Linked DNA regions of Macaca mulatta. The protein of the gene in region 2 purifies or fractionates together with the protein of the main gene of each other region. This does not show direct contact. Links are inferred from orthologs where the notes say so. Each region holds a gene or a part of one and is shown on either strand. Other genes may lie near its edges.

The links.
Region 1: the proteins of RRP1B (region 2) and NCL purify together in Homo sapiens (affinity purification with mass spectrometry; 3 studies listed by BioGRID and IntAct, with this or other methods). This does not show direct contact. The link is inferred for Macaca mulatta from reciprocal best matches to the Homo sapiens genes RRP1B and NCL.
Region 3: the proteins of RRP1B (region 2) and SRSF1 purify together in Homo sapiens (co-immunoprecipitation; 3 studies listed by BioGRID and IntAct, with this or other methods). This does not show direct contact. The link is inferred for Macaca mulatta from reciprocal best matches to the Homo sapiens genes RRP1B and SRSF1.
Region 4: the proteins of RRP1B (region 2) and SRSF6 purify together in Homo sapiens (affinity purification with mass spectrometry; 3 studies listed by BioGRID and IntAct, with this or other methods). This does not show direct contact. The link is inferred for Macaca mulatta from reciprocal best matches to the Homo sapiens genes RRP1B and SRSF6.
Region 5: the proteins of RRP1B (region 2) and DDX21 purify together in Homo sapiens (affinity purification with mass spectrometry; 3 studies listed by BioGRID and IntAct, with this or other methods). This does not show direct contact. The link is inferred for Macaca mulatta from reciprocal best matches to the Homo sapiens genes RRP1B and DDX21.
Region 6: the proteins of RRP1B (region 2) and RPL10A purify together in Homo sapiens (affinity purification with mass spectrometry; 3 studies listed by BioGRID and IntAct, with this or other methods). This does not show direct contact. The link is inferred for Macaca mulatta from reciprocal best matches to the Homo sapiens genes RRP1B and RPL10A.
Region 7: the proteins of RRP1B (region 2) and NPM1 purify together in Homo sapiens (co-immunoprecipitation; 3 studies listed by BioGRID and IntAct, with this or other methods). This does not show direct contact. The link is inferred for Macaca mulatta from reciprocal best matches to the Homo sapiens genes RRP1B and NPM1.

The regions. Positions count from the first base shown.
Region 1 is NC_133417.1:136,720,199-136,724,305, forward strand, and holds the start of NCL (nucleolin), read right to left. Parts: upstream 2,801-4,107; 5' UTR 2,660-2,800; coding exon 2,642-2,659; exon of another isoform or gene 2,449-2,641; intron 1,786-2,448; coding exon 1,669-1,785; intron 478-1,668; coding exon 1-477. UniProt on the Homo sapiens protein: Nucleolin is the major nucleolar protein of growing eukaryotic cells. It is found associated with intranucleolar chromatin and pre-ribosomal particles. It induces chromatin decondensation by binding to histone H1.
Region 2 is NC_133408.1:3,879,960-3,883,957, reverse strand, and holds the start of RRP1B (ribosomal RNA processing protein 1 homolog B), read left to right. Parts: upstream 1-1,198; 5' UTR 1,199-1,299; coding exon 1,300-1,429; intron 1,430-3,998. Other genes in the region: HSF2BP (heat shock factor 2-binding protein), read right to left, coding at 1,024-1,170. UniProt on the Homo sapiens protein: Positively regulates DNA damage-induced apoptosis by acting as a transcriptional coactivator of proapoptotic target genes of the transcriptional activator E2F1.
Region 3 is NC_133421.1:51,982,380-51,986,360, forward strand, and holds the start of SRSF1 (serine/arginine-rich splicing factor 1), read left to right. Parts: upstream 1-1,181; 5' UTR 1,182-1,384; coding exon 1,385-1,578; intron 1,579-1,986; coding exon 1,987-2,171; intron 2,172-2,538; coding exon 2,539-2,711; intron 2,712-2,894; exon of another isoform or gene 2,895-2,911; coding exon 2,912-3,106; 3' UTR 3,107-3,471; coding exon of another isoform or gene 3,472-3,510; 3' UTR 3,511-3,981. UniProt on the Homo sapiens protein: Plays a role in preventing exon skipping, ensuring the accuracy of splicing and regulating alternative splicing.
Region 4 is NC_133415.1:96,305,114-96,309,246, reverse strand, and holds the start of SRSF6 (serine/arginine-rich splicing factor 6), read right to left. Parts: upstream 2,801-4,133; 5' UTR 2,660-2,800; coding exon 2,553-2,659; intron 2,333-2,552; coding exon 2,184-2,332; intron 925-2,183; coding exon 800-924; intron 661-799; coding exon 452-660; intron 176-451; coding exon 92-175; intron 1-91. UniProt on the Homo sapiens protein: Plays a role in constitutive splicing and modulates the selection of alternative splice sites. Plays a role in the alternative splicing of MAPT/Tau exon 10. Binds to alternative exons of TNC pre-mRNA and promotes the expression of alternatively spliced TNC.
Region 5 is NC_133414.1:80,682,259-80,686,323, forward strand, and holds the start of DDX21 (nucleolar RNA helicase 2), read right to left. Parts: upstream 2,801-4,065; 5' UTR 2,745-2,800; coding exon 2,658-2,744; intron 1-2,657.
Region 6 is NC_133409.1:146,806,661-146,810,950, forward strand, and holds RPL10A (large ribosomal subunit protein uL1), read right to left. Parts: upstream 2,801-4,290; 5' UTR 2,770-2,800; coding exon 2,765-2,769; intron 2,406-2,764; coding exon 2,331-2,405; intron 2,251-2,330; coding exon 2,170-2,250; intron 1,817-2,169; coding exon 1,668-1,816; intron 752-1,667; coding exon 579-751; intron 349-578; coding exon 178-348; 3' UTR 148-177; downstream 1-147.
Region 7 is NC_133411.1:180,249,569-180,253,068, reverse strand, and holds part of NPM1 (nucleophosmin), read right to left. Parts: intron 3,040-3,500; coding exon 2,920-3,039; intron 2,319-2,919; coding exon 2,225-2,318; intron 1,309-2,224; coding exon 1,202-1,308; intron 1,105-1,201; coding exon 1,040-1,104; intron 1-1,039. UniProt on the Homo sapiens protein: Involved in diverse cellular processes such as ribosome biogenesis, centrosome duplication, protein chaperoning, histone assembly, cell proliferation, and regulation of tumor suppressors p53/TP53 and ARF.

The DNA.
Region 1 (4,107 bases), on a different chromosome or scaffold from region 2:
TTCCTCATCGTCATCATCCTCATCCTCATCATCTTCATCATCCTCATCATCCTCATCCTCTGAGGCAGGGGCAGCAGCTGCTGCTTTCATCACTGCTGGTTCAATTTCATCTTCATCCTCATCTTCGTCCTCATCATCCTCATCATCTTCCTCACTGTCATCCTCCTCCTCTTCATCACTGTCTTCCTTCTTGGCATTCTTACCATTCTTTGCCCCCTTGGCTGGGATGGCAGCACCCTTCTTACCAGGGGTTGCTACCAATGCTTTGCCTGGTGTGGCTCCCTTCTTGCCAGGTGTGGCAACTGCTTTGGCTGGTGTAACTGTCTTCTTGGCAGGTGTTGCTGCTGCCTTTTTGCCTGGAGTGACAGCTGCTTTCTTGGCTGGTGTGGCAACTGCAACCTTTTTTGTTGGGGAAACTACCACCTTCTTTGCTGAGGTTGCAGCAGCCTTCTTGCCTTTCTTCTGAGGTATGACAACCTTGAGAATAAATGAAAACCAAACCAGTAAGTCCAGCCCCACACCCAAAAAGATAACCATGGTCCCAGTGAGTGTTAGATTCTGCCAATGCTTCTGGTTCAAGACCACATGCGCTAGACACATGTTAGCATGTTAAACTCCAGGCTTCTGTTATGTTGTCTTAGGTCAGAGCCCTTATTATCAGGTGAATACCCAGCCATAAGGAACCCTTTTGAACACTTAAAATACCTCTGAACCAGACCTCTGAATTCTTGCACCTCATATTTTCCCAAACCCCAACTTTCTCATCTGAAAATGGTAATAGTATCATATTACACGTATAACAATAATGAAGTGCTATGCGTAAATTATTCAGAACCTTACACCTAGGAGGCTCCAAGCATTAACGTATTAAATCATTTGGGGCTCCTATGGTGGATGGCAGTACTGAGTCCAGTGAAGCTCAATTCTTGGGACCTGAGATAAAATGAAGATCAAATAGGCTAAACCTAACTATCCCTTACAAAACTATCACACATCAAAGAGTGAGCATGTTAGTTTGATAAAAGCCATCGTTTAGCTACATGAAAATCCCATAGTTTTATTAGGCAATGTGTGGAAGAATAAAACTTTTATTCAATTCTCAACGAAAAACCTGAGCACAATTCAGTGCTCAGATGTCTTTACAGTGAGCAAATAAAAGGCCAAGACTGCCAAAGAGTAAAGAGGGTCAATGTTAACACAAAGAGGTGGCAGCCCTCAGTCTACACCAAAGATAACTATAACGCAGTGAGTAGAATTACAAAGTTTATATATAATGGAATGGAGACCAATTAATCTTAATTGGAGGCTAGGAAAGGAATCTGGGAAGGTTATCCTCAGATCTGAATACAATGCCCAGCTCTACATGTCGGGGTGAGGCTAACATGTTGAAACTGGAAAAATTTAATGATTTAACACAACAAATCACACTCCTTGCCCTGCAGAGGCACATGGAAAGGAGATCCCCAGACCTCTTGTCTCAAACTCACATTCAAATACTTAGCCAAATGACACCTTGACATGTCAGTGAAGAGCTTGTGAAACCACCACTACAATAGGACATACCTGGATGAATAAAATCTTATTTTAGCCACAGACATCCAATTTCATGTCTTAACTCTCCATTGTTGTAGTTTTAACACAATTCTGCATTAAGCTAGATAAAATTACCTCTTCTCCACTGCTATCATCTTCTTCATCTTCTGACATTTCTTCATCTTCACTATCTTCTTCTACCTCCTTTGGAGGAGGAGCCATTTTCTTGGGGTCACCTTGATTTTTACCTGCCTAAAATGGACACAAGTAGGTCATTACACCTCCACCTCAACATTTCAGGCCATTCATATTTTGCCATTACTGTTCATAGTAAAACGCCATCATCTCTCCTTTCTCAGATCCATTTCTCATAGTGCCAAACAGCACAACATCAAAACGAGTCCTGATGGCAATGCAAGATGGACTACTCTCAACCGCCCACAATTTTCCTCCCGGGCTTCACAAACAGAAAACCCGCCCGAAGGTAAGAAGTAACTACCTTGGTTTTCTCATGAACATTATGCTTTTCCCAGCAAGACAACCCCGCCCCTTAAAGAGGCGGCGCGGCCACGTGGGGGTACCTGGTAGGCCACCACGTGCCCGAAACACGGCGCAAAAGGCACGCGGCAGAGCCACCTTCCGGGGCCCACCACGTGTCGGCTTGCCAGGCCAGGACTCCGACTAGGGCCGATACCGCCATTTCCTGGCGCAAGGCACCGGTGCCTCTGGAGATTCCAGGACCTACGCGGCGCGGCCCACGTGGCAGGCCGCGCTCCCGGGCACGTGCGTCAGGAGTCGGGTCCCGACTCGTATGCGTCGCAGGAGTTTGGTCTCATCTCCCCACCCCGGGGCCCAGCGCCCCCTCCCCGCGCTCAGTGACTCCGTCTTTCCCGCCGCGTTCGCCGCCCCCAGCACCTGCAGAAGCTCTTCACCTCGCCACCAACTAGCCAGAAGCCGCGAGACCTCCCCACTAATCGCGCGAGACTTCCCGCAGCATGGCGCCCTAGAACGCGCCCGGGACTGCGCGCAGGCCCTCCTCCCCGCGCCGCCGCGCTCGCCCCTCGGAGAGCAGGCCTAGACGTCTGCGCTCGCGCTCAAGGCCGTTTACCTTCGCGAGCTTCACCATGATGGCGGCTTATGGCGGCGGAGTGTGGAGCGGAGAAGTGGCGCAGATGAGTCCAGAGGAAGGCAAGCGACGGCGATGGCGGCCGCGGGTGCTGAAGATCCCGGAGCACGTACACTCGAAGGCCAGCGAGAGCTCGAGACTGAGGCGAAAGACTGAGCCTGCCCAGTAATCGCCTGTGGAAAGGCGACGACGGCGCCCTCGTGACTCCGTGCCGACCAACCAGAGCTCGCGGCAGTCCCCCTGAGCCAATCGCGAGCCTCTAACCGAGAACGGCGCGGGGCGGGGAGTGGGCGGGCCGAGGCGGCCACGGGAGGGGGAGGGGCTGGCAGCCGTGCCGTCGGGGCGGGGCTCGCTTTGTGCAAGGCCGGCGCTGATTGGGCCGTGGGCGCGCGGGTCCCGGCCTGCGCCGTGGGACTGGCGTTTTTGGCGCCGGCTGTGAGGGGACTTCGGGGGTGGTGGAATCGGGCGGTCTAGGGATCTCCAATGTGGCTGGCTCCCTAGGCTCGGGCAGCCTTGGAGTTCCTCAAAGACCCCGCGCGCGGCCCCGGCACGCACTCACGCCGGCGCTCCCGGTGGCCCTGGAGAAAGAAGCCCGCCAGCCCCGGAAGTTCAGGGACCGCGGAGTTCCCGTTGGCCCTTTCGGAGGCACAGCTCAGCCCTGCTTGCCCGCGAGCATGGGACTGGAGACACCCCCGGCTGCAGGCAGTCTTCTGAGAGCCGTTAAAGGCAGTCGCGGGTCTGTGCGAGGTTTTTCTGTGAGAAATGCACGAACCTCCCCTACCCCACAGAACCTCAGGCGGGAGATATTTCTCGTCATGGGGAACGGCCTCGGAGAAGTAACTTTCTGGCCTCACAGGGCAAGGAGAGGGGCCTGGGCGGGCCGACCGCAAAGCCGGGCCTTTGACCGCCCACAGGTTCCCTGGTTGTTATTTGCGTCGAATGCGCCAATTAAGGTGGTGGCTGCTAAGTCAGTGTCACCAGATGGCTCGGGAGCAGGTCGAGAGCCACCGGCAGGGTTCCCCGGCGGCAGGGCGAAGGAGGCCGGAGTGACTTCCACGGTTAGCTTTGAGGGTGGGCCTCCCTCGATGCCGGGCTTAGCAAACCAGAGCATTTCCCTCCGTCCAGGGCCTGCCTGGGATCCATCCAATCCATGGGTCCAGGTATGGATCCATCCATACCTCATTGTTCCTACAGAACCAGGATACCTGCAGCTACGGCGGTACTTGTTAAAAATCACCTCAGGCGGGGCGCGGTGGCTCAGGCCCGCAGTCCCAGCACTTTGGGAGACCGAGGCGCATGAACCGGGGAGTCGGGGATTGCAGTGAGCCGACATCGCGCCACTGCACTCCAGCCTGGGCGACAGAGCGAGACTCCGTCTCAGAAAGAAAGAAAAGTGTTTGTTAAGGCCAGGCGCGATGGCTTATGCCTGTAATCCCAGTACTTTGGGA
Region 2 (3,998 bases):
AAGTAAAATAAATCGGATGAGTCCTTTCCTGTTTGGCGAGGAATGCTACACTATGGGGGACTGTTTCAAACTGGCAGTCTTTGCTGGAAACCTCGCCTCCGCGGTTCGCCTTCCTTCGCTCGGATTCAGGCGCTTTTATGTTAAGGGTTGAATTTTTGTGTCAACAGGCACCTCGGGAGGTCGCCCACATAACTGAGCGGAGCAACTGAGATAACCCCCCGCTACGTGTGGAGTGACCTAGTCCATTAGCTTGCCCCGGCACGCCCGCTGAGTCCGCAAAATATAGGATGTTCTTGGGTTTTAGATGAACCCAAAGCTAAGATTTCTTCCCTCTCTGGAGTTAGCAAGCAGCCCGCCCTGCCCAACTCCCCTGGAAGCGCGCGTGCTCTCCAGGCTTCGGGACGCCGGCGCGGGTGCCCCAGCACTGGCACTAGGGCTCCAGAGTAAGGGGCGCGCCGACCTGCCCGAGCCTCTGCAGGCGCTGGCGGAAGGTGAGCCCTTCACCCGCTCAACAGGCCCCAGTGCCGGCCTTTCCTTCCAGTCTTAACTCCACCCGGGGACCCGGGGGCTCCACAGTTAAAAACTCCGTGCCACGGAGATCGCAGGTGAGCTGCTGGCTCAACGGGGTGTGCTAAATGGGATTAAAGATCCTAGACTGTGGCCAGGCGCGGTGGTTCAATCCCTTAATCCCAGTGCTCAGGGAGGCCGAGGCGGGAGGATTGCTTAAGCCCAGGAGTTTGAGACCAGCCTGGACAACATAGCGAGACCCCATCTCTACAAAAATAAAAAGTAGTGGGGCGTGATAGCGCGCGCCTGTAGTCTCAGCTACTTGGGTGGTCGACATGGGAGGATCGCTTGAGTCTGGGTGGTCGAGGCTGCAGTGAGCCAAGATCACCGCCAAGATCGCGCCCCTGCACTCCAGCCTGGGCGACAGAGGGAGACCCTGTCTCAAAAACAAAAAATCCTAGACCGTTTACAAACAGCCGTCCGTCTCTTCCTGGCCAAGTCCTAACCCTGGCTAACCTCGCCGTGTACAGCCTGAATTTTGGCAACCGAAAGGCAGAGCCGGCGCCACTCGCACAAGAGATGGGCCGCTCCGCCCGCTGCCAGGGCCACGGCCGCGCTCACTCCCAGAGCGCGCTGCGAGCCGCGGCGCCTTTGTGACGCCATCAACCCGCGCGCCGTCGCCGCCTTCTGTGCAGTCGAGGCCCTGGCGGACGGCTGCTGGCTGCTCCGCGGCGCTCGGCTGGCGGCAGCTGCACCGCGGGTTGCGCGGCCGGGGATGCTCCAGCGGGCGCGATGGCCCCCGCCATGCAGCCGGCCGAGATCCAGTTTGCCCAGCGGCTGGCGTCCAGCGAGAAGGGCATTCGGGACCGGGCGGTGAAGAAGCTGCGCCAGTACATCAGCGTGAAGACGCAGAGGGAGACAGGTGGGCGCACGGCGGCGGTCAGCCGCGCCACATGGCGGGCCGGGGGCCGGGGCTGGGGCCAGGGCCCTGGCACGGAACGCGGCTTCCACGTGTTGTCGTGACACCCAGCGTGTGCTTAGGTTTCCGCGCTGCCAGAACCGCTTCTTGCTGTGTCTAGTGCCTTTTTACACTTGAGGAAACGGGTTGAGGGTGTTCCGTTACTTGTGAAAGTCACAGTAAGCGGGAAAGCTGAGAAAAGACCCACATGGGTCCGATTCCCCAGCCGGCATCTCGAATCACTGGGCTGCCCTCATTTGCCCTGGTGTCCGGTCGGTGATTGCCGCCTTTCTTTGACCAGCACCTTTACGTGCCGGGGCTGGAGGAGAGAAGACAGAAGCACTACTCTCGAGGATTTGTTAGTAATAAAGCAAGGAGGCAAACAGGCAAATAAAGTAGACCTTGTGTAAGTGTAGTAAAGGAAATGAAAACCAGGTAGTAGGCCGGGCGCGGTGTCTCACGCATGTAATCCCAGCACTTTGGGAAGCCGAGGCGGGCGGATGACCGGAGGTCGGGAGTTCGAGACCAGCCTGGCCAATCCAACATGGTGAAACCCCGACTCTACTAAAAATACAAAATTAGCCGGGCATGGTGGCGCATGCCTGTAATCTCAGTACTCGAGAGGCTGAGGCAGGAGAATCGCTTGAACCTGGGAGGCGGACGTTGCGGTGAGCCGAGATCGCACGATTGCACTCCAACCTGGGCAACAAGAGCGAAACTACGTCTCAAAAAAAGAAAGAAAGAGAGAAAGAAAGAAAACCAGGTAATAGCAAGAAGTGAAGGAGGTTGCTCTTCTTGATAGACTGTTCTGGGAAGGCCTCTCGGGTGATGTTCAGCTGAAATCTGAAGAGAGATGAGCGGAAAGCGCCTATGCAGAGGCAGGAAAGAGCTTCACGTGCCCTAGGAGTGGTTTGAAAGACCAATTAAGTTGTGGGTGGGCGGGGAGAGTGTGATGAGATGAAGTTGGAGATTGTAGGCAGTGGCCAGATCACACAGGGCTTTGTAGTGTAGATTTTAACGGCACTGCTGTTGAATGATTTCATTTACCTGATCCAAGAATATTTTCTGTAAACTCTTGAGTGAGCCCATACGATATGAACTACAATGTGTGACAGAGGTTTTAAGATAAAGTTTGATTTAGTTACTGATGGTACTAATACATTTAGAATCTGCTTAAAAGAACAGATATTATCTCCCCCATTACTGACATTCTCAGTTTGTTTTAAGAAAAATCACCAGACTACCCAAAAAAAGAAAATAAACTTTCCTGGGAAGTCTGGTAGAAAAAGGAATGAAGACCAAAATTCCTGACTTTGATTCTGTTAGGGATGTCCCTAAGAGATTTTGTTTACTCTCACAGTTCCAGGTAGTCCATATATGCTGGGGGTTTCTAAACCTAAATTGTTGACCCAGCCCTTTCCTACTTGCAACTGGGATGTGCCTTGCTAGCCTGGCTTCTCTACCTGGCACCTCACACTCAGGATGCCAAAAAACGTCATATTTTCTTTCCCCGAAAGCCTGTTGTCTGCTGCTGCTCCTCTACCACCTGTTTTCTCTTCTTTTGGTTGCTAGTTCCCACCAGCCATTCGGATTCCAGCTGGACGCAGGGGATTGTCCTGGACTCCTCTGTCTTCCTCATCCTCTTCCCCTGGCCCACATCCAGTGTCCCTCAGTCCTCCCTCCTTCGCCTCCTGATGAAATAAATTCTCTGACTGTGGGCCCTTTGCATCTCACCCAAACTTCTGCACCTGCATATTCCCTAACTGGTCTCCTTAACTTCATTTGTGTCCCCCCGAATCTGTCCTCCACAGACCAGCCCAGGGTCATCTTCCTAAAACAAATCTGATCCCACATCACCAATATTTTTTGAAATTCAGTGTCTGCAAGTCATGATCTGTCCTCAGGTGCTCTTCCTCCCTAAGCCCCATGTGACTGCTTCATGTTCTGTCAACAGAACCAGTCATGGATCTTGGTGTATAGCACACAATTTCTCACCTCTCTGCCTTTGCTTCTCCTGTTCACTCTGCAAAGAATCCCACACCTTCTTCACTCCCAGCATTCAGTTCAGTATCACTTCCTTCAAAAAGCCTCCCCTAGCATCTCGCCCTACTCCTCCAGGGTCTAAAACATCCATTGTGTCTCTGTTGTAGCACTTAGCTACATTGCTGCTTAATTATCAATGTGCCATTCTACTCCCAAAACAGTGTAAGCTTCCATCTGTTTTCTTAGCCAGAAGTGGGAGTACATGCAGCCATGAAAGGTCTTGGCCTATACAAAAGTAGAAGACAAGAAGCAATACTTATGGTGCTAAAACAGCCTAGACAGAGCCTTTTGCTCAAACCCTTTGGTGAGCCAGCCCAGGATTTGCAGATGCTGAGGTTACGCAGGGGGCCTAAGACCAGTTTACACCAGTGCTCCAGAGTCCTGTCTGGTTAGTGCCTGTCACACCCAGAGTTTCTTGTCTTGTACGTCTTGTTCACCACCACATGGCATGGAGTACACTGGGCCTTCAAAAAATAACTCTGCAGCGTGA
Region 3 (3,981 bases), on a different chromosome or scaffold from region 2:
CTAATTTTTTTTTTTTCAGTAGAGACGGGATTTCACCATGTTGGCCAGGCTGGTCTCGAACTCCTGACCTCAAGTGATCTGCCGCCTCTACCTCCCAAAGTGCTGGCGTGAGCCACCGCGCCCAGCCTAATTTTAATTTGAATTCATTAGCGACGTTTAAAAATCCCAGGATTTCACATAAAAATCCAGATTGCAGACGTCGAAAAAAAATGTAAAATGTTATCTCCCAATGTCGCAGGCAAATAAGATCACAGTCCTGAATAGCAACCGCGGTCTCTAGTGGACACGGCTCTCATCCATTTCGGTCCATTTTATTACCTGGGAGGACCGGTATTTTCAATTTCAGTAACTTTTAGAGGAAACTTTTGAAAAAAGGACTGCACACACGCACCTTTTCTTCCTTCTCGTTCTTTAAAAGGAAACAACAGAAACAATTCATTCTGCAGGCAATCTGCGCTAGTCCCACGGATAGGCGATTAACAAGAGATAAAGAGGTGTGGGTACCAGAAGCAGTACTGTTACCCCTTCTGGTTGGCGGGTACCACGTTGAAAGGTCGGGGTACGGGCCCACTGCGACTAGCACAAAGAGTGCTGAACTGAGCTATGCAAAGTTCTGACGAGAAGGTGGAATGGTTCTTAATGAAAAGGATTAAGGAATCTAAACCGGTTTCGCTAAATTAGACACATCTGTCTAAGCAGCCACAGCTTGTTCGCAGCAGGGGCGGGAAGACAAACCAACGCCCCAGCTCTCTATTCAGTCACCGGCAACTCAGCTCTGGACTAGACGCACTCTACGAAGATACCCGGGTTTCCGGAGCAACGGCCCGAGCCCTCCCCCTTTAGCCCCGCCTCCGAGTCTCTTTCCCGCCAAAGGCCGTTATCGCCGCAGAGCATGGTGGGACAAGGCTTTAGGCTAGGTTTCACCAAGTCCTTTGAAGGCGCCGAGTTGCTTTCAAAGCTCCTCATTCCTGGGGAAATTGACTATCCTTCAAGACTCGACCTGGATGACTAGCTCCTTTAACGAGAGTTCTTTATTTAACTTTTACCAAACGGCTGCTCACTCTATTCGCAAACCACCCCAAGCGGGGAACGCGGGGGACTTTTTTTCCCCCTTCGTGCGGAGGGTGACGTCGCGCGTGCGTGCGCGTGCGTTGCGCGTATCCCTCGCAGCACCCGTTGCGCTCCCGCGCGTGCGTGTTGGGATCGAATCGCTGTTTCCTTCCGCTTCTCTTCCTCTGTCTCCCCCCCATATCCGTGCGCCGAGCTGATAAAGGCGCCATTTTGGAGGGGCCGCGGGAGACGTGGTGCCGCTGCGGGCTCGCTCTGCGGTGCGCTAGGCTTGGTGGGAAGGCCTGTTCTCGAGTCCGCGCTTTTCGTCACCGCCATGTCGGGAGGTGGTGTGATTCGTGGCCCCGCAGGGAACAACGATTGCCGCATCTACGTGGGTAACTTACCTCCAGACATCCGAACCAAGGACATTGAGGACGTGTTCTACAAATACGGCGCTATCCGCGACATCGACCTCAAGAATCGCCGCGGGGGACCGCCCTTCGCCTTCGTTGAGTTCGAGGACCCGCGGTGAGGCGGCATGGGGCTTGCAGCCTTGAGGAAATAGGTCCGAGTAGTCGGGGAAGGCTCCAAGGCCTTAACATAGAGAACGGGGAAGCGGGGGCTCTTAGAGAGGTTGGGGCGAGACTGTATCGCCCATGCAGGAGTCGAGTAAGGAGCTGAGTTGGTGTGGCTTCTCTGGCGCCTCGCCTTGGACGTCCCCGGAGCCCATTCGCAGGCTGGAGCGGGAAACTGAGGCGCTGAGGGCTGGTGTAGTGGTTGGGAGCCTGGCGTGTTTCTGGGTGGGGGAGGGGCCATTCCTATTATGCGGCGCATGTGGGCTCTTCCACGTTGGGTGCGCATGTGCGGGGGGTTCCCGACTGAGCGAGCTTCTCCTCCTGGTCTTTCTCATGCCTTTTACTTTCTGCGATCCCGCAGAGACGCGGAAGACGCGGTGTATGGTCGCGACGGCTATGATTACGATGGGTACCGTCTGCGGGTGGAGTTTCCTCGAAGCGGCCGTGGAACAGGCCGAGGCGGCGGCGGGGGTGGAGGTGGCGGAGCTCCCCGAGGTCGCTATGGCCCCCCATCCAGGCGGTCTGAAAACAGAGTGGTTGTCTCTGGTGAGTGTACTTGGTTGTGTGGATTGATGTGAAGGGACGGAAGCTACCTAAAATTTTTGTCTTGCATGATCGGTTTAACAATTGCAAATTTTTCATGCTAGGTCTTAAATTGCTTTAGTTTTTGGGTGAATTTAATAAACGAGGATTGCTGCTGTGGTGATTTACCAAATTAGGTTGCGGTACTAGATACGAAGATCCGTTACAAATAATTTTGGACTCTGGATCCCAGAATCTTACCAGCTCTTTACCTGGTATCACTTAAGTACACCTATTAAGTATTTTAAAGTACTCTTTGTTCTAATGTACCTTACCAGCTTAACGTGAAATTTAAGATAATTGATACTAAGAAAAAAAATCACTTTTTCAGGACTGCCTCCAAGTGGAAGTTGGCAGGATTTAAAGGATCACATGCGTGAAGCAGGTGATGTATGTTATGCTGATGTTTACCGAGATGGCACTGGTGTCGTGGAGTTTGTACGGAAAGAAGATATGACCTATGCAGTTCGAAAACTGGATAACACTAAGTTTAGATCTCATGAGGTAGGTTATACGCTTATTCTTTTCTTTGACCAGAATTGGATACAGTGGTCTTAACAGTGGAATTTGAAGGTAAGAATTCAGGCAAGGGTGTCCAAGTAAATTGCCAGATTTCTGGTTGTAGTTGCATTGTATGCATTCAGCATGCCTGAAGATAGATGAAAGCTTAGATCTTTCAATGGAAAGTTCTGTCTATCCAATAGGGAGAAACTGCCTACATCCGGGTTAAAGTTGATGGGCCCAGAAGTCCAAGTTATGGAAGATCTCGATCTCGAAGCCGTAGTCGTAGCAGAAGCCGTAGCAGAAGCAACAGCAGGAGTCGCAGTTACTCCCCAAGGAGAAGCAGAGGATCACCACGCTATTCTCCCCGTCATAGCAGATCTCGCTCTCGTACATAAGATGATTGGTGACACTTTTTGTAGAACCCATGTTGTATACAGTTTTCCTTTATTCAGTACAATCTTTTCATTTTTTAATTCAAACTGTTTTGTTCAGAATGGGCTAAAGTGTTGAATTGCATTCTTGTAATATCCCCTTGCTCCTAACATCTACATTCCCCTCGTGTCTTCGATAAATTGTATTTTAAGTGATGTCATAGACAGGATTGTTTAAATTTAGTTAACTCCATACTCTTCAGACTGTGATATTGTGTAAATGTCTATTCTGCCCTGGTTTGTGTGAACTGGGATGTTGGGGGTGTTTGTGGTTATCTTACCTGGGGAAGTTCTTATGTTTATCTTGCTTTTCATGTGTCTTTCTGTAGACATATCTGAAGAGATGGATTAAGAATGCTTTGGATTAAGGATTGTGGAGCACATTTCAATCATTTTAGGATTGTCAAAAGGAGGATTGAGGAGGATCAGATCAATAATGGAGGCAATGGTATGACTCCAAGTGCTATTGTCACAGATGAAATTGGCAGTATTGACCTTATACTAAAAGGCAGGGGTTAAAAATGATTATATACGTTTTCCTTAAAACACTTGCAAACATTTTATTCAGTTATCTTTAGCTACAATTGCTTTGCTCTTTAAACCTTGGCAATTGTGGCAAAATTATATTGCCCATTTTGTAGCAACTTATTTTGCTCCCTTCCCCCCATTTTTGTTTTAATAGGGACTAATGTGGGAAGAACTGGCTAATTTGTCACAGTGCTTAGTTACAACTGTTAATGTGTGACCTGCTGTTGGTGTACATGTGGGTACAGGGTGTCTTTAAATCCAACAAGATAGAGTATAATATCAATACTGCTAAATCTGCATGTCCTCTGTGT
Region 4 (4,133 bases), on a different chromosome or scaffold from region 2:
GACCGATTCTCTCAATACTTTGTAAGAACATACACGTACTCCATAAACAAGTACAGTAATATTCACAATGACTCAACACAACATTATTTACCGGGAGCGACTTTTTGAGATACTTCGAGATCTACTGCGGCTGCTCCTGCGACTCCTACTTCGTGACCGTCTTCTAGATCGAGACCTATTAGGAGAAAAACAATGAAGTCTTAATCTCAATCCATCTTAAATACACCTGTGCCATCTGGCAAAAATAGATAAGCCAAAGAATAATGTTTTTCTTTACTACGAAATTAAATACACCTTCAAAACATCCAGAAAAAAACCCAATGATGCACAGCCAAAACAAACTAAAAGCTGGCTTTAATTCAAGTAGGCAACAATTGAAATTACTCCATTACTTCCCTTTTTTATTGTCAAATATTCTGTTTCCTCCCCACAGTGTCCTTCAACAAGTTACCTGGATCTGCTTCCAGAGTAAGATCGCCTATGGCTTGTGCGTGGCTTATCTTCAATAAGCCTAATATTTCTGCCATTTATTTCTGTGCCATCCAGTTTGTCCAAAGCACGCTTCATGTCAGAGTAGGAGCGAAACTCAATTACACCCTCATTTGTTCGTTCCTTGTGGGCATCCGCATAGGTTACTTCACCTGCTTGTCGCATAAAATCCTGAAATGATAAGATTGGTCAGACTCGGAAATCTTAAAAGATCTATATACTATAATAAATTCCCAGAAATAAGAATGTAAATAAGAGTTTACTTTAAAGCATTAGTCGTATCTTTTGTATCTTGAATTATAGCACATACCTTTAAATCTTGCCAACTGCACCGACTAGAAAGATTTTCTACAATAAGCCTGTATTCTGTACGAACAGGTGGTCCGTATTTGTCTCTGCCAGATGTTCTCCGACTGCTGTATCCACCTCCACCACCTTTATCACATGAAGGGAACAATTAGATGCCTTGTAATGATAAAAACGCATAATGTCTTTGAAAGTTAGTACAAACATATCAACTTTTATTTACTGGAGTAGGACTTTGCTATTATATTGCTAAACCTTCGACACATTTGTGATTTGCCATAAAATTAAATTAAGGGCAAGTCAAATAGACTAAATCCAACTAAACCTCTCCTACAATCTGTTAGAGAGTGACTGCTCCTTTATTCGATTTACCTCGCTAAGTTTTATTTTACAGAACATTGTAAAATATAAAACTTAACTGATTACATGCATTTCTACATTTTACAAAAATGTTTACTAGTTTTACACTAAGTACTTACATCACAGTGTGAGGTTTTTGGTGGTGGTTTGGCCACAAAACACGCAAGGTAACAGTCACCTAGTTCAGATTAACCAGTTTTGTCTAACCCTTGGAATCCTCACCATCACCCTGCGTCTAATGGCAAAAGGCTGCTGTCGTCATGGCTTCCGGTAAGGTCAGCCAAAGGGTCATAGGGCAAGGGTCACACAATGTATGGAAAAGCCAAGGCCAATCAGGAAAGGCAGTCATCTTAGCCTCAGTGGACACAGCCTCAGCCCCATTGGTCACTTTCAAATTGAAACATCAAGGACTTGTTAAAAAGTTTGAATTCAACATGCAACAATTTAAACATCAAACATTTAACATAACCAAAAATCCCCCCAACCTCCTCCCAGTAACATGCCCCAGTTAGTTCAAATACAGCATAAAGCTTATTTAGATCTACTTTGTGGTACAATACCACATTACTTAAAAATAGTACATTCTTCGGCCCCCATCAAGTTCCATAACTTTAAGACCTATACTTTAAGCTCCTCCCTTCCCCGTCCCCCGCCCCCCTACCCCACCTCCACCCCAGCCTGCCCCCGAACCTCTAACTAATGCACTGATAGGTAAGTAAGGAGAATACAACAAATACAGCCACTCCTTACTTCCTCTGTGGTTAGAACCTGTGACAGTGCTGACAAGGGGCCAGAAGAAGCCACCCCCCGCCCAACTTCGCAAATAAAACCAAACACCCAAACCCAATCCCCGCGCTCCGGCGTCCCATGGCTGCCCCGGGCAGACATGAAGGCAGCGGGGCTCGGGGACACCCGAGTCAAACGACCCCCAGCCCTCGCGCCTGCCCGGGCTGGGAGGCCCCAACCCACCCACCCCCGCCCGCCCCCAGGGTCCCCAAGGGCGCGGAGCGCGCGGGGGTGGGACTCACTGCGGCTTCCGTAGCTGTAGCCGTCGCGATCGCGACGCGGGCCCCTGGCGTGCTCTACGATCACGCGCTCGCCGCAGAGCTCCTTGCCGTTCAGCTCGTAAACGGCGTCGTCGGCGTCGCGGGAGTCCTCGAACTCCACGAAGCCGTACCTGGGGGCGGTGCCAGGGCCGGACAACGGCGGGGGCGTCGTTAGCCAGGGCGCGCCCGTGCGCGCGCCCGCACCCCTCAGCGCGCCCCCGCGACGCCGCGCCGTCGCCATCTTGGAGGCCCTGCCACGCGGCGCCGCGGCCTTGGCCGCCTTTTTCCTTGGAGAGTTCCCGCCGCCACCAGGCCTGGGACGCTGGGCGCGGGCGCCCAGGCTCGACTCACCCATTTTTGAGGTCTACTTCGAGGAGGCGGCCATAGCCACTGAAAAAGCGCTGGATGTCCTTCTCCCGGACGTTGTAGCTCAGGCGTCCTATGTAGACGCGCGGCATGTCCGTGGCGGGCGGGGGCCCAAGGGCTGGTTGTCGAACGGCGGACCGCAAGCCAGTAGCCGCGGTGCGGGTGCGGGGACGGCAAGAGCCCGAACACGCGCCTCACACCACAGCGGCGGCCGAGTCCAGCCACACAATGATGCGCGCGCGCGCCAGGCTTACGCTATATGGGCGGCCAGTGGGGCGGGGCCTGGCGCGTGACGTCAGCGCGCAGCGGCACGTCCGTCCCCAGTCGGCCCTGGGCTAAATGGTGACTGGCGAGTCAGCTGCCCGCGACGTTTCGGTGTAGTGCGGTCTTGCTCGCTTCTAGGATTTTTCTCCAGCCCTCCCCACCGTCTTTGAAAACACAGTGTCTCTAATGCAGCCGCAGAATTGTTTTCTAATTTGTACCTTTTATAAAACTGCGCGATCGATCTCTTTGGGGTTGAAGCTCGGGAGGCGGGCTGAGAGAATCCCCGTTTTTCATTGGTTCTCGAGGTGGTTATAATGGGTCGCCGCGGTCTCTGATTGGTGGGTTAAAACGAGGCTGCCTGTTTCCCCCAGCGATTGGTTGGTGCTCGTTTTGGTGGGGACCGCGCTCTCGGACCCAGTCGCTGGTCCGGTTTCGCAGAATCCGAGGATCACGCGCTGAGGTCTTGCTGACCGGGCGGGGGTCGCGTTGCGAACTTGCAGAGCCGCCATCAGCTTCTCCAAGTCTCACTCGCAGCCTTCTTCAGTCTTGGCCTCCCCGGACGTTCCCCTCTCCCTCCATGGGTCTTTCTTGGAGCCCTGTCAACTTGACTCACTTGTGGATTGGGGTGTCCGTGGGAATCCTACGCTCACTGTAGGTGCTCAAAAGGGAGCGCGGAGGAGACCCCGCAGCCCTCCTACAGCGATGAACAATTTTTTTTCTCCCGTATATAGAAAGTCCTTTGTCCCAATACTATCATTTCTTCCATTGACTTGAAAGTGCCTTATTTTGTGAGTTTATCAAGGGAGATGCTATTTAAAGCTGGAGAACCAGATGAAAACCTGTGGTTTAAGTTTAGGTGGGGAGCAGAAGACCCAGGCCAACGCCTGGGGTACTCTGAAATTTAAGTACAGGAAAGGAGACTGACGGGAAGGAGTGACTAGGGAGGTAGGGAGAAGACCAGGAGAGTAGGGTGTCACCGAAGCGAAAAAAAAAAAAAAAAAGGGAAGGGATATCACTGAGATAACATCAGCTCTTTAGATATTTTTGTATACCTGCTCTGAGTGGTGCAACCTGAATATCCTTCAGCTCCCGGTTGAAAAAGGGGGGTTTTGTCCTCCTGGAGCTATTTGGAAGTCTGGAGGGAAACGTTGTTGTTGTCACGACTGGGGGAGGTAGAGGCCATGCTTAAAGTTAGATAAACAAAAAATACGAGTCTGTAATCCCCACACCTTGGGAAGCCGAAGCAAGAGGATCTCTTGAGCCCAGGAGTTGAAGGCTGCAGTGAGCTACCACCATGCCACT
Region 5 (4,065 bases), on a different chromosome or scaffold from region 2:
TTTCACCCAGGTTGTGGTACAGAGGCATCATCATAGCTCACTGCAGCCTTTAACTCCAAAACAGGAATTCTGCACTTTGCCTATCTCACAAGAGCAAATTAATTTATATAAAGACAGTTTAGGGCCAGGTGCAGTGGTTCATGCCTGTAATCCCAGCACTCTGGGAGGCCAAGGCATGAGGATTGTTTGAGGCCAGCAGTTACAGGCAAGCATGGGCAATATAGCAAGACCCTTTCTCTATTGAAAAACTTTAAAAATTAGGCTGGGCATGGTGGCTCACGCCTGTAATCTCAGGACTTTGGGAGGCCAATGAGGGCGAATCACAAGGTCAGGAGGAGACCACCCTGGCTTAATACAGTGAAATCTCGTCTCTATTAAAAATACAAAAAAAATTAGCCACGCATGGTCATGCACCTGTAGTCCCAGCTACTTGGGAGGCTGAGGCAGGAGAGTTGCTTGAACCCGGGAGGCAGGGGTTGCAGTGAGCTGAGATCGCGCCACTGCACTCCAGCCTGGGCGACACAGCAAGACTGTCTCAAAAAAAAAAAAAAAAAATTTAAATTAGCCAGACGTAGCGGCACACACCTATACTCCTAGCTACTTAGAAGGCTGAGGTGGGAGGATTGCTTGAGCCCTGGAATTCAAGGCTGCAGTTAGCTATAATCATGCCACTGCACTCTAGTTTGGGTGACAGTAAGACTGTCTCTACAAAAAATAAAAGGGCAGGACGCGGTGGCTCATGCCTATAATCCCAGCACTTTGGGAGGCCGAGGTGGGCGATCGGATCACCTGAGGTTGGGAGTTTAAGACCAGCCTGACCAATGGAGAACAAGCCTGGGCAACGAAAGCAAAATTCGATCTCAAAAAAAAATAACAAATAATAAATAAAATAAAAGAGACACTTTATGAAACAAAAAGTTATAAAAACTCAGTCTATCACCCTTGTGTAAAAAAGATGTACTTAATTTAAAATAAAATAAATAAGTTACAAGAATATGGAAGGAGTGACACCTCAGAACCAAGTAAGACAGATGACTGTGGCTCCTATTTGAACTTTCTGACCCCCTACAACTTTTCATACTATTTAAAGCAATTAGACACATGTTGTAGCCTCCTTAGAAACCTATTCTGGCAGAGCCCCAGAACAATCTTGGAAATACATATTACACTGAATTCTGCCTCCTGGAAACGTCAGGCCTGGTCTCTGTTCTCAAATCATAGATTAAAAATAATCTCCTTGCCAACAAAAAACAAGCTAGTCTCCTTCCAAAATTTTATTCGTTTTCATCCCTTGGTTCCACCAAATAAGACCAAGTTTCCCATCCTGGTGGTCTCTTTTGGAATATAACAGAGTTTGGTCATGTATCTCTGGATTTGAGCATGCCAAATTGAAAGCAACTGACTGATGCGATGTAAACCAGGACCACTACTTCTTGCACCTGAGTACAAATCTGCCGCGGCTTCCTACGATTCTAAAATATTGCTATTGTAAGAGCTCCATATCAAAAGGCAGGGAAACAAACAAGTAAAGTTCATTCTAAGTAGTGTACAACCTAAGTCCAAGAACAATCTTTCTTCCCACTGACTTATCTCAGAACAGAGACTCAGTCACAAGTTAAATCACTAGGAAGCAACAGCAAAGCAAGGGACGGCTGTCAAGGTTAAGACTACTGCACACTGCTGGCCTATATAAAAAAACATGGTGTACACTCAGCACCGCAACACATGCCTTTACATTTCCATGGGAAATCTAGTCAATATAATACTAAGAAGAACTGAGTTACGTCATCTTCTCAGGGCGGCTTACCGGAAAACAAACTGTACTTCCCTTACTAGAGTTTAAAAAGTCACTAAAGACGCCGCCCACGTGCGCAGATGAGGTTAAGGTATCTCCAGTCTACTCTAAAGCTCCAGTCCCCACTTTTTTTTTTTGAGACGGAGTTTCGCTGTTGCCCAGGTTGACTTGCAGTGGCGCGATCTCGGCTCACCACAACCTCCGCTTCCCGGGTTCACGCAATTCTCCGGCCTCAGCCTCCCGCGTAGCTGGGACTACTGGCGTGAGCCACCATGCCCGGCTAATTTTTGTATTTTTAGTCGAGACGGGGTTTCACTATGTTGGCCAGCCTGGTCTCGAACTCCTGACCTCATGATCCGCCCGCCTCGGCCTCCCAAAGTGTTGGAATTACAGGCATGAGCCACCGCACCCTGCCTCCAGTCCCCACTTTGACTTGACTTGTAATTCCCTTCGCGCACGCTCAAGCCGGGAGTTATGTCTCAGCCAGCAACGTGGAGCCTGACTGAATGTCCAACTCTGCGCACTGTGTGAGGCGCGCCCAGTCGCCGGGGACCACGTGGGACACCCGGCCTTCTCCCGAGCTCCAATAGGGCCTCTCTACCAGAGTTCCTGGAACAATGTGGATGCCTCTAATCTCAGAGGAAGAGGTCAGCGCGCGGCGGCCCCGGCTTGGTCGGGCAGACGCATCCACTGCCTGGGAGCGCACCACTGCTGGACGACCGCCCGTCAAGACCCACGCCGGGTCTCTGGACGCGCTGTTACCCGCCGCGCGCTCTCACGATCCCAGCCCGGGCACCTCTCCCGCACCCCGGGGTTCCGCTCCACTCAGCGTCCCTCCTGGCCCCAGGTCCCTCCGTTTCACCTTCTCGGTTTGTTTTCGCAGTGTCTCCCCTTTTTTCATTGCGGTGTCTGATTCCAAACCAGCGTCACTACGGAGTTTTCCCGGCATCTTCAGCGCAGGCTGCCCAGGTCAACCAGTCTTCTCAACCGCGTGGAGAGGAAGAGGTAGTTCCCCCTCCTCTGTCCACCCGGCTCTCGTCACTTCCCGTAGCAAGGCACTTCCGGGGAAAGCAGGAAGCACAGGAAAGACTGCTCTCCGCGAAGTAAATTCAAAGCAACGGCCTGTGACTGTGGCTAAATTTAGTGCATTGACTGACCACTGGCGGCCTTTGGTCTAGAAGGCACCTATGGAACGGTAAAACCGCAAGGAATTACAAAGGTTAGCTTTGTATTCTCCAACACTGGCCAGATTTTCCCTAGCCCCAGCCTGAAAAATGAAGGCTTCTAGTTGCTTTTGAGTGGAGCATCTTCAGTGCTTTATGTTATATTGTTCGAGTTTGCACGTGCAGACTCGCGGATGTGTATTTTTTTTTTTTTTTTTTTTGAGACGGAGTCTCGCTCTGTCGCCCAGGCTGGAGTGCAGTGGCGCGATCTCGGCTCACTGCAAGCTCCGCCTCCCGGGTTCACGCCATTCTCCTGCCTCAGCCTCCCGAGTAGCTGGGACTACAGGCGCCCACAACCGCGCCCGGCTAATTTTTTTTGTATTTTTAGTAGAGACGGGGTTTCACCGTGGTCTCGATCTCCTGACCTTGTGATCCGCCCGCCTCTGCCTCCCAAAGTGCTGGGATTACAGGCGTGAGCCACCGCGCCCGGCGCGGATGTGTATTCTTTTTTTTTTTTTTTTTTTTGAGACGGAGTCTCACGCTGTTGCCCAGGCTGGAGTGCAGTGGCGTGATCTCGGCTCACTGCAAGCTCCGCCTCCCGGGTTCCCGCCATTCTCCTGCCTCAGCCTCCTGAGTAGCTGGGACTACAGGCGCCCGCCACCGCGCCCGGCTAATTTTTTGTATTTTTAGTAGAGACGGGGTTTCACTGTGGTCTCGATCTCCTGACCTTGTGATCCGCCCGCCTCGGCCTCCCAAAGTGCTGGGATTACAGGCTTGAGCCACCGCGCCCGGCCTGCGGATGTGTATTCTTAATCATCTCTTGGAAACGTCTACTCTGAAAGTGTCGGCCAGACTCAGGAGCCTGAAGGAAAAAAAAATTCAGTCGGTTCTAGTCGGTCATTCATGCGTGCACTCAAACATTTTATGAGCGTTCACTGTGTCAGGTAGGACAAACAGGGCTAGGATTCACTAGCAGACACAAAAGCCTTATCCTCAAGAAGCTTTATAGACTAGCGGGAGAGAGAGAAGTCTTGTGGTTTGAGACAAGAGTCTCCTTCTCTGTCACCCAGGCTAGAGAGTGCCATGGCGCGACCTGGGCTCACTGCA
Region 6 (4,290 bases), on a different chromosome or scaffold from region 2:
TGATGGCAGAAAAACATCCTCTTCCCTGTAGTACCCAACTATCCATCATCAAGATGACAAACTACACAACGAGCCATGGCAGTGCCAAGGCCCTCACTTGTCAGCTGACAAACCACCCCTCACCCTCAATCACAGGCAGACAGAGGGGACTGGTAACAGAATTTATTCAAATGTGCCTTAATATAGGCGCTGGGGCTTGCCCATGGTGCTCTTGATATATAAGGCCCGGACATTCTGCCAGTTTTTCTTGAGCAATGACACCAAGAAGTTGACAGCCAGGTGAATGTTATACACAAGCTCATCGTCTGTCATCTTCACGTGACCAACAGCTACAGCCAGACATAACACCTGGGAGGACAGAAGAGAGGATCAAGTCAGGTTGGTGGAGGAATGGCAAATGGCCTGTCCCTCCCTCACTGGCCTAGTGAGCAGGTACTTGGACCCGGGCCAAGGAAGGACCAGGGTTACTCCAAAAATTTCAATCCTGGTGGGTGCTCTCACTGGCATATTTAGAGACTTGGGTAAGTTTTAGACCCCGCCAACACCTTCACCCACAGCAACCCACCAGACCCCCTCACCTTCTTCATTTGGAACTTGATTGTGGACTTCACCTCATCCACTTTGGCCACCATGTTTTCGTTGTGTGTGAGCAGGGAAGGGAACTTTCCTGCCTTATTTAGGCCTGGGCCGAGGATTCGTGGAATCTGCTTGATCAGAGACTCTGAGGCCAAAAACGCATCATACTTCTTGGCTGGTAAAGACAGGAAGCCATTGGCATTGCTTAGGACCTGGTCACCAAGGCACACCTCAAATGTGGCAGGCCAGAAACGCACTTGTATCAACCACGTGACATCCAAGCAGCACCCTCTCTACCCCCGCCTCAGTCTTTTCCCCCGCCTAAAAGGTTTCCAGAAAGTCCTCTGGACCTTCACTGGTCCCAAAACATGCTCTCAGAAAATCAGGCTGACCCATGATCCATGGCATAACCGCTGTACAACGGATGCCCCAGTCAAGACTGCCAGGGCTCAGGCCGGATGCGGTGGCTCACGCCTGTAATCCCAGCACTTTGGGTGGATCACGAGGTCAGGAGATTGAGACCATCCTGGCTAACACGGTGAAACCCCGTCTCTACTAAAACTACAAAAAAAAAATTAGCCAGGTGTAGTGGCAGGTGCCTGTAGTCCTAGCTACTCGGGAGGCTGAGGAGGGAGAATGGTGTGAACCCGGGAGGCGGAGCTTGCAGTGAGCCGAGATCGCACCAGCCCGTCTCAAAAAATAACTAAAAAAAAGACTGCCTTGGCTTGAATTGTGCCTATTTCTTAGCGGTGGACCCTGGACACGTGACAACTGGCAATGTCTGCTTCCTACCTGTGAAAGCAGTCTAATGCCACTGCCTAAACAACGCAGAATAAGATTTCCAAATCATACCTCACCAGCACCTGGCTGGGTCAACTTACAATACTTGGCCTTCCTCATCAACTGGAATCCTCATAGCAAATACAAACATCAAACCACCCCAAAGCTAAAACAGCACTCAGGCCAGCTAGGCAACCACCGCCGCATTTGCTAGTCTAGCCCCCTCATCATTAAAAATCGAAATGGCAGGAAAGCCTTTCTAGCGCCTCCACCCCACATCTCACATGCAAAACCACAGCGGCCGGACTCACCTAGTTTCTTGACCAGTTTTTTATTCTTGTTGAGTTTTTTCAGCGCCTCGATGTCCATGTGGGGGATATCCACGGCCTTGGCCTCGTCACAGTGCTGCTGGTCCCCCAGGACACACACAGAGAACTTGGGGCGGGGAGTGGACTTAAGCCTGCGTTTTGGGGGACAGCACCAACAGGTTATGCCTAGCCCTGGGTCCCGAGGGCCGGTGAAGGGTGTGGGACCGCAGCAGCCACCGAGCCTTACCCGGAGCGTTCACATTCACCAGCAGCCAGCCTGGCTTGTCAGGCTGGCCGGCGGGCTCGGCCAAGGCCTCCCCACGCCTCCCCTCATGTTTTAAGACCCAGGGTGGGGGTCCGTCCAGCCGCGCCTGCCCGGAGCAGGGGGTCTGAACTACCCTAACACATCAGTACCGACGTGCCCGCCTCCGGCTCAGCGGGAGCCTGCAGGGGAGGGGCAGGCACGGGGGCACTGAGGGCTGGGTGGGATCAGAACGGTGCCAACCTGACGGTGCCTGAGAAGCGCTTGTCCTTCTGGGGGTCATAGTTCTTCAAGCTGATCTGCAACTCCACCGTCTCCAGGAACCTTCGAGAGAGGAGGGGGATTAAGCGTTAAGCACACGCCGGCCCTCACCACCCGCGCCCTGCCCCAGGGTCGGCACTCACTTGCGGCGCTTGCGCTGGTTCCCGTGCAGGACTTCCCGCACCGCCTCGTACAGGGTGTCGCGAGAGACTTTGCTGCTGCGTGAGAGAAGCGACAGCGCGCTCAGGGCCGCGGAGTCCACACGCTCAGACTGCTCAGAAGCCTCCGAGGCTCCAAGCTTCGAGACGGGCGGGCGGCCCACGGCGGACTCCCCAGTAGATTCCGGACACCAAGTAGAGCGACGGGAGCCCAGACCCAGACCCAAACCCCGGTGGAAGAGGGAGCCTCTCGGTGATCGGACCTGGTAGGAAGGGCGACCCGCAGGCCGACCCGCCTTGAGAAATGCCCCGCGGCGAAGGTGGCGCAAGGGCCCGCAGTTCGGTCTGCAGGAGCCGCATCCTTGGCGGGGCACCTGGAGGCGCGGATGAACGCAGATAGGGCTTTCAGGACCACTTACCTCATGGCTTCTCACGCCGCGCTAACCGGAAAAGAGACTAGTACAGTTTGCGCATGCGCTCTAATAGTGGCCCGATCTCGCGAGAATGCGTCGTTACTCGGTCCTACCCACACAGAGGTTGGGTGGGCCAACCCCGAGAAGCGCGGACTTCTCCGGCCGCTGGGAGTCGCTGGGCCGCTAGGCCGGCGCGGGAACCCACGGAGTTGTCGCAGCCCTGAGCGCCCCGCGGCCGCCGGTAATGTGCCGATTCGCGCCCGCTGTTGCTGGGCCCCTAGGGAAGCAGCTGCGTTCGGGGCTCGAGCTTCGGTAGGCACACATACTGGTACAGCCCAGTGATGTTCACTGACAGCGTGGATTCCGACATGCTTGTCCCTCAAACCCCTTTCCCCTCGCGCCCTCCGCATCAGCTTATGTTCTCAAAAGCAAGCCTTGTTCCTCGGCCAGACCTCCCTCCCTCAGCACCTTGCTCTAACGTGGACTCGTGGTAAGGGAAGCTTCCGGAAAGTTCTGTTCCTGGCCTCTCAGCGCCTGCAGAGGGAAGAGCTGGCAAAGTCCTAAAGTGAACTTTTACTTGATAATTTGATAACATCTACGTTTTAAGTGTGACTAGTATGAATAAGGCGTCTAGCCAGGTGCTACAGGAATACAAAGATGTAAAACAGGCACACAGCACAGCACACCCATTAAGGTGTCTTCTCTGCTCTTTCCTCTGTCCAGTGGGTCTCATCCTCTTAGCCCACTGTAACCCGAAGAGCCCTTCAGATCTCTCCTAGGGTTCATCTGCCCAAAACCCTTCCCTAACTCCAGACTGAGTCACTCCCACCTTTATGTTCATTCCCACCTATCCCCCTGCCTGGTGGGGGCAGCTCCTGTAGGATAGGGTGAGTGGTATTACACATTATTTGGCCCTTAGAAAGTGAGTAAGATACCCTTCACCCTTCCCCTCACCAGGAAAAATATGTTCCTTGTCACTGAGCAGGGAGGTGGAGGGGGTGGGGATGGGTTCAATACCCAGAATTCACAGGAAGGAAAGTACTGCTTCTAATAAGACATTAGTCAGGCGTGCTGGCTCACGCCTGTAATCCCAGCACTTTGGGAGGCAGGCGGATCACCTGAAGTCAAGAGTTTGAGACCAGCCTGGCCAATGTGGTGAAACCCCGTCTCTACTAAAAATACAAAAATGAGCAGGGTATGGTGGCAGGAGCTTGTAATCGCAGCTACTCAGGAGGCCAAGGCAGGAGAATCGCTTGAACTGGGGAGGTGGAGGTTGCAGTGAGCCGAGGTCACGCCACTGCACTCCAGCCTGGTGACAGAGTGAGACTCTGCCTCAAAAAAAAAAAAAAGAAAAAGACATTATTGAACTTGCTTTTTATTCAATACCATTGATAAATTCAAGTCAGAAACAAAAGCACAGAAGGTCATAACATACACGAGCACAAGAGCTTCATCTGAGCACACTGGTACCCTAGACCTCCTGGAGCATCCCATGTCCACTCTGGGTCGGCTTGACCCTACTGAGCCCTGTT
Region 7 (3,500 bases), on a different chromosome or scaffold from region 2:
TCTTATATTTTATTTAATGTGTTTTCCATAAATGCATATGGACCAATCTCAGAACTGAAGAACAAAGCTGAGAGCCAAGTATTTAATGTATTACTGATACTTGCACACATAAAACCAATTATAAACAGTACTTTATACCAGTGTGCATGTAACTGTTTATACCAAGTTTGATCCAGTTTAATATAAAAAAAAATTAATGTTTCCAATCATATTTTAAATCCCAAGAAAAATCTTAATATCCCTTTTAGGATCTTATTTTTGTCCATTAAGTATCTACATAAAAGCACAAGCCAAAATCCTTTTGGGGAATAACAAACCTTCAGTAACAATTTGTAAAATGAATATAGAGCTATTTAGTCAGATTTTCTTTTCTTTTTTTTTTTTTTGAGACGGAGTCTGGCTTTGTTGCCCAGGCTGGAGTGCAGTGGCTGGATCTCAGCTCACTGCAAGCCCCGCCTCCCGGGTTCATGCCATTCTCCTGCCTCAGCCTCCCGAGTAGCTGGGAGTACAGGCGCCCGCCACATCGCCCGGCTAATTTTTTTTGTATTTTTAGTAGAGACGGGGTTTCACCGTGTTAGCCAGGATGGTCTCGATCTCCTGACCTCGTGATCCGCCCGTCTCGGCCTCCCAAAGTGCTGGGATTACAGGCTTGAGCCACCGCGCCCGGCCTTTAGTCAGATTTTCTTTCAACCCAATCTAATTAACTTCACCATAATACATACCAGGCTTGATGGGTATAACATCCACTAAATCTTTAAAACAAAGGGACATAATCAAACTTTGCAAATGCTATAGCCTACCCTTCTGAAGAGTCACCAAGTCACAGCACTGTAAAGGCTCATGACCCAATATCCTTTCAATTCAGCTCATTTAACTTAAACTGACAACAGATGACCACTTGCCCTTTTATTATAAACTATTACACAGGATGGCTTTTCATAAATGACTTTTATAAAATCCTCATGCATATAACAATGTCAAATTCCTTTTTCTCTGTTAAGATTTCAGAAGTGTATCAAATTTCTAAGATCATACTTACTCTTCATCATCATCATCTTCATCATCATCATCATCATCTTCATCAGCAGCAAGTTTTACTTTTTTCTTTTAAAAGAAAAGGCACATACTCATGAACAAGAGCTGTTCTATCACCAAACTAAAATCTGTAATACAAAACCTATAATAAAATTGCCATCTCTACCTGTGGAACCTTGCTACCACCTCCAGGGGCAGACCGCTTTCCAGATATACTTAAGAGTTTCACATCCTCCTCCTCTTCATCTTCTGACTCTGCATCTTCCTCCACAGCTAAAATGCAATTTATTAGACATTATAAAACTCAAGCAGCAAAGAAATCAGAAAAAAAAAGAACACTGATAGCATACAGTAAATATTCTAAAAACTGAGATTTCTATTCTATTTTTTTAAAAAAAGAGCAAATGGGAAAAGGAACTTTTTAACAAAGGTATTCTGAGGCCTAACGTTCACTGCCAGGTTTTAAATGCAAGAAGCCTGAGCAGGGTGGCTCATGCCTGTAATCTCACTTTGGGGAGGCCAAGGTGGACCACTTGAAGCCAAGAGACCAATCTGGGCAACACAGTGAGACTCCATCTGCACATATACAAAAAAAATTAGCCAGGCGTGGTGGAGTGTGCCTGTAGTTCTAGCTAGTCCAGAGGCTGATGTGAACCCAGTAGTTCAAGGCTGTAACAAGCTACGATCACTGCACTCCAGCCTTAGAATGAGACTGTCTTTATTAAAAAAAAAATTTTAGGCCAGGCACAGTGGCTGACGCATGTAGTACTAGCACTTTGAGAGGCCAGGGCGTGCAGAACACGTTAAGGCCAGGAGTTTAAGATCAGGCTGGCCAACTTCACGAAACCCCTTCTCTACTAAAACTATAAAACACAACTAGGCTTGGTGGCACACGCCTGTGGTCCCAGCTACTGGGGAGGCCGAGACAGGAGGATCCCTTGAATCCCGGAGGGAGAGGTTCCAGTGAGCCAAGATCGTGCCACTGTACTCTACCCTGGGTGACAGATCAAGATTTTGTCCCCCCACTCCAAAAATTTATTTGTCCTCTCCAATTATAAATTTCTAGACTCACACTGGAATCTATTTTAAAGACAGTAGTACTATACCCATGCTTTAAGTCCAAACTGGGAACCAAGCAACTGCATTAAAAAGAATAAACTAAGTAGTATAATACATAAAAATAACATACCTACTAAGTGCTGTCCACTAATATGCACTGGCCCTGAACCACACTTCAACCTTAAGACCACTGGTGGTGTTATTTCAAAGCCCCCAAGGGAAACCTAGAAGGAAGAAATTTTTAATCACTAAACATATGAAGAAAATGTACAATAAACATTACAAGCAAACACATAAGCCAAATCAACAAACCAGTGAACCTGGTCGGGCGCGGTGGCTCAAGCCTGTAATCCCAGCACTTTGGGAGGCCGAGACTGGCGGATCACGAGGTCAGGAGATCGAGACCACCCTGGCTAACACGGTGAAACCCCGTCTCTACTAAAAATACAAAAAACTAGCTGGGCGAGGTGGCAGGCGCCTGTAGTCCCAGCTACTCGGGAGGCTGAGGCAGGAGAATGGTGTAAAAACCCAGGAGGCGGAGCTTGCAGTGAGCTGAGATCCGGCCACTGCACTCCAGCCCGGGCAACACAGCGAGACTCCATCTCAAAAAAAAAAAAAAAAAAAAACCACAAACCAGTGAACCTTTTTTCCACCTCTGATAAACTAGCAGCAGAAACCCCCATGTTCAAGAGCTGACCATTGAACTCCAGTGACAGAAGATAAAGAACCACTTTCTATCTCTTTGGCACAACGAAATGACACCAAACCTACCTTAAAACAGAATTAAACCTTGACACAACATCCAAAGTATACAAGTGCCCTTACCGTTGGCTGTACAGACATTTTCAAAGTTGCCAGTGTTACTTTAATTGGACTGCCTTCGTAATTCATTGCCTCTGCTTCAACAATGTGCAATTCATCCTTTGCACCAGCCCCTAAACTGACCTGTGAACAAAAAAAAAATACCACTTCAACTTTGAGTTCCACCTATTTTACACCCCCCCACCACTAAATGTTATATGCAGCCATGCGTCACTTAACCACAGGGCTAGGTTCTGAGAAATGTGTTGTTAGACAATTTCATCTTGGTACAATCATAAGAATGTGCTTATACTAACAAACCTAGATGGTATAGCCTACTACACACACCTAGGCTACAAACCTGTACAGTATGTTACTGTACTGAATACTGTAAGCATCTGAAATACAATAGTAAGTATTTGTGCATCTAAGCATAGGAAAGGGCGGTGGTGGCTCATGCCTGTAATCCCACGGCACTTAGGGAGGCTGAGGTAGATCATGAGGTCAGGAGTTTGAGACCAGCCTGGACAACATGGTAAAACCCCGTCTCTACTAAAAACACAAAAATTAGCCAGGCATGGTGGCACATGCCTGTAATCCCAGCT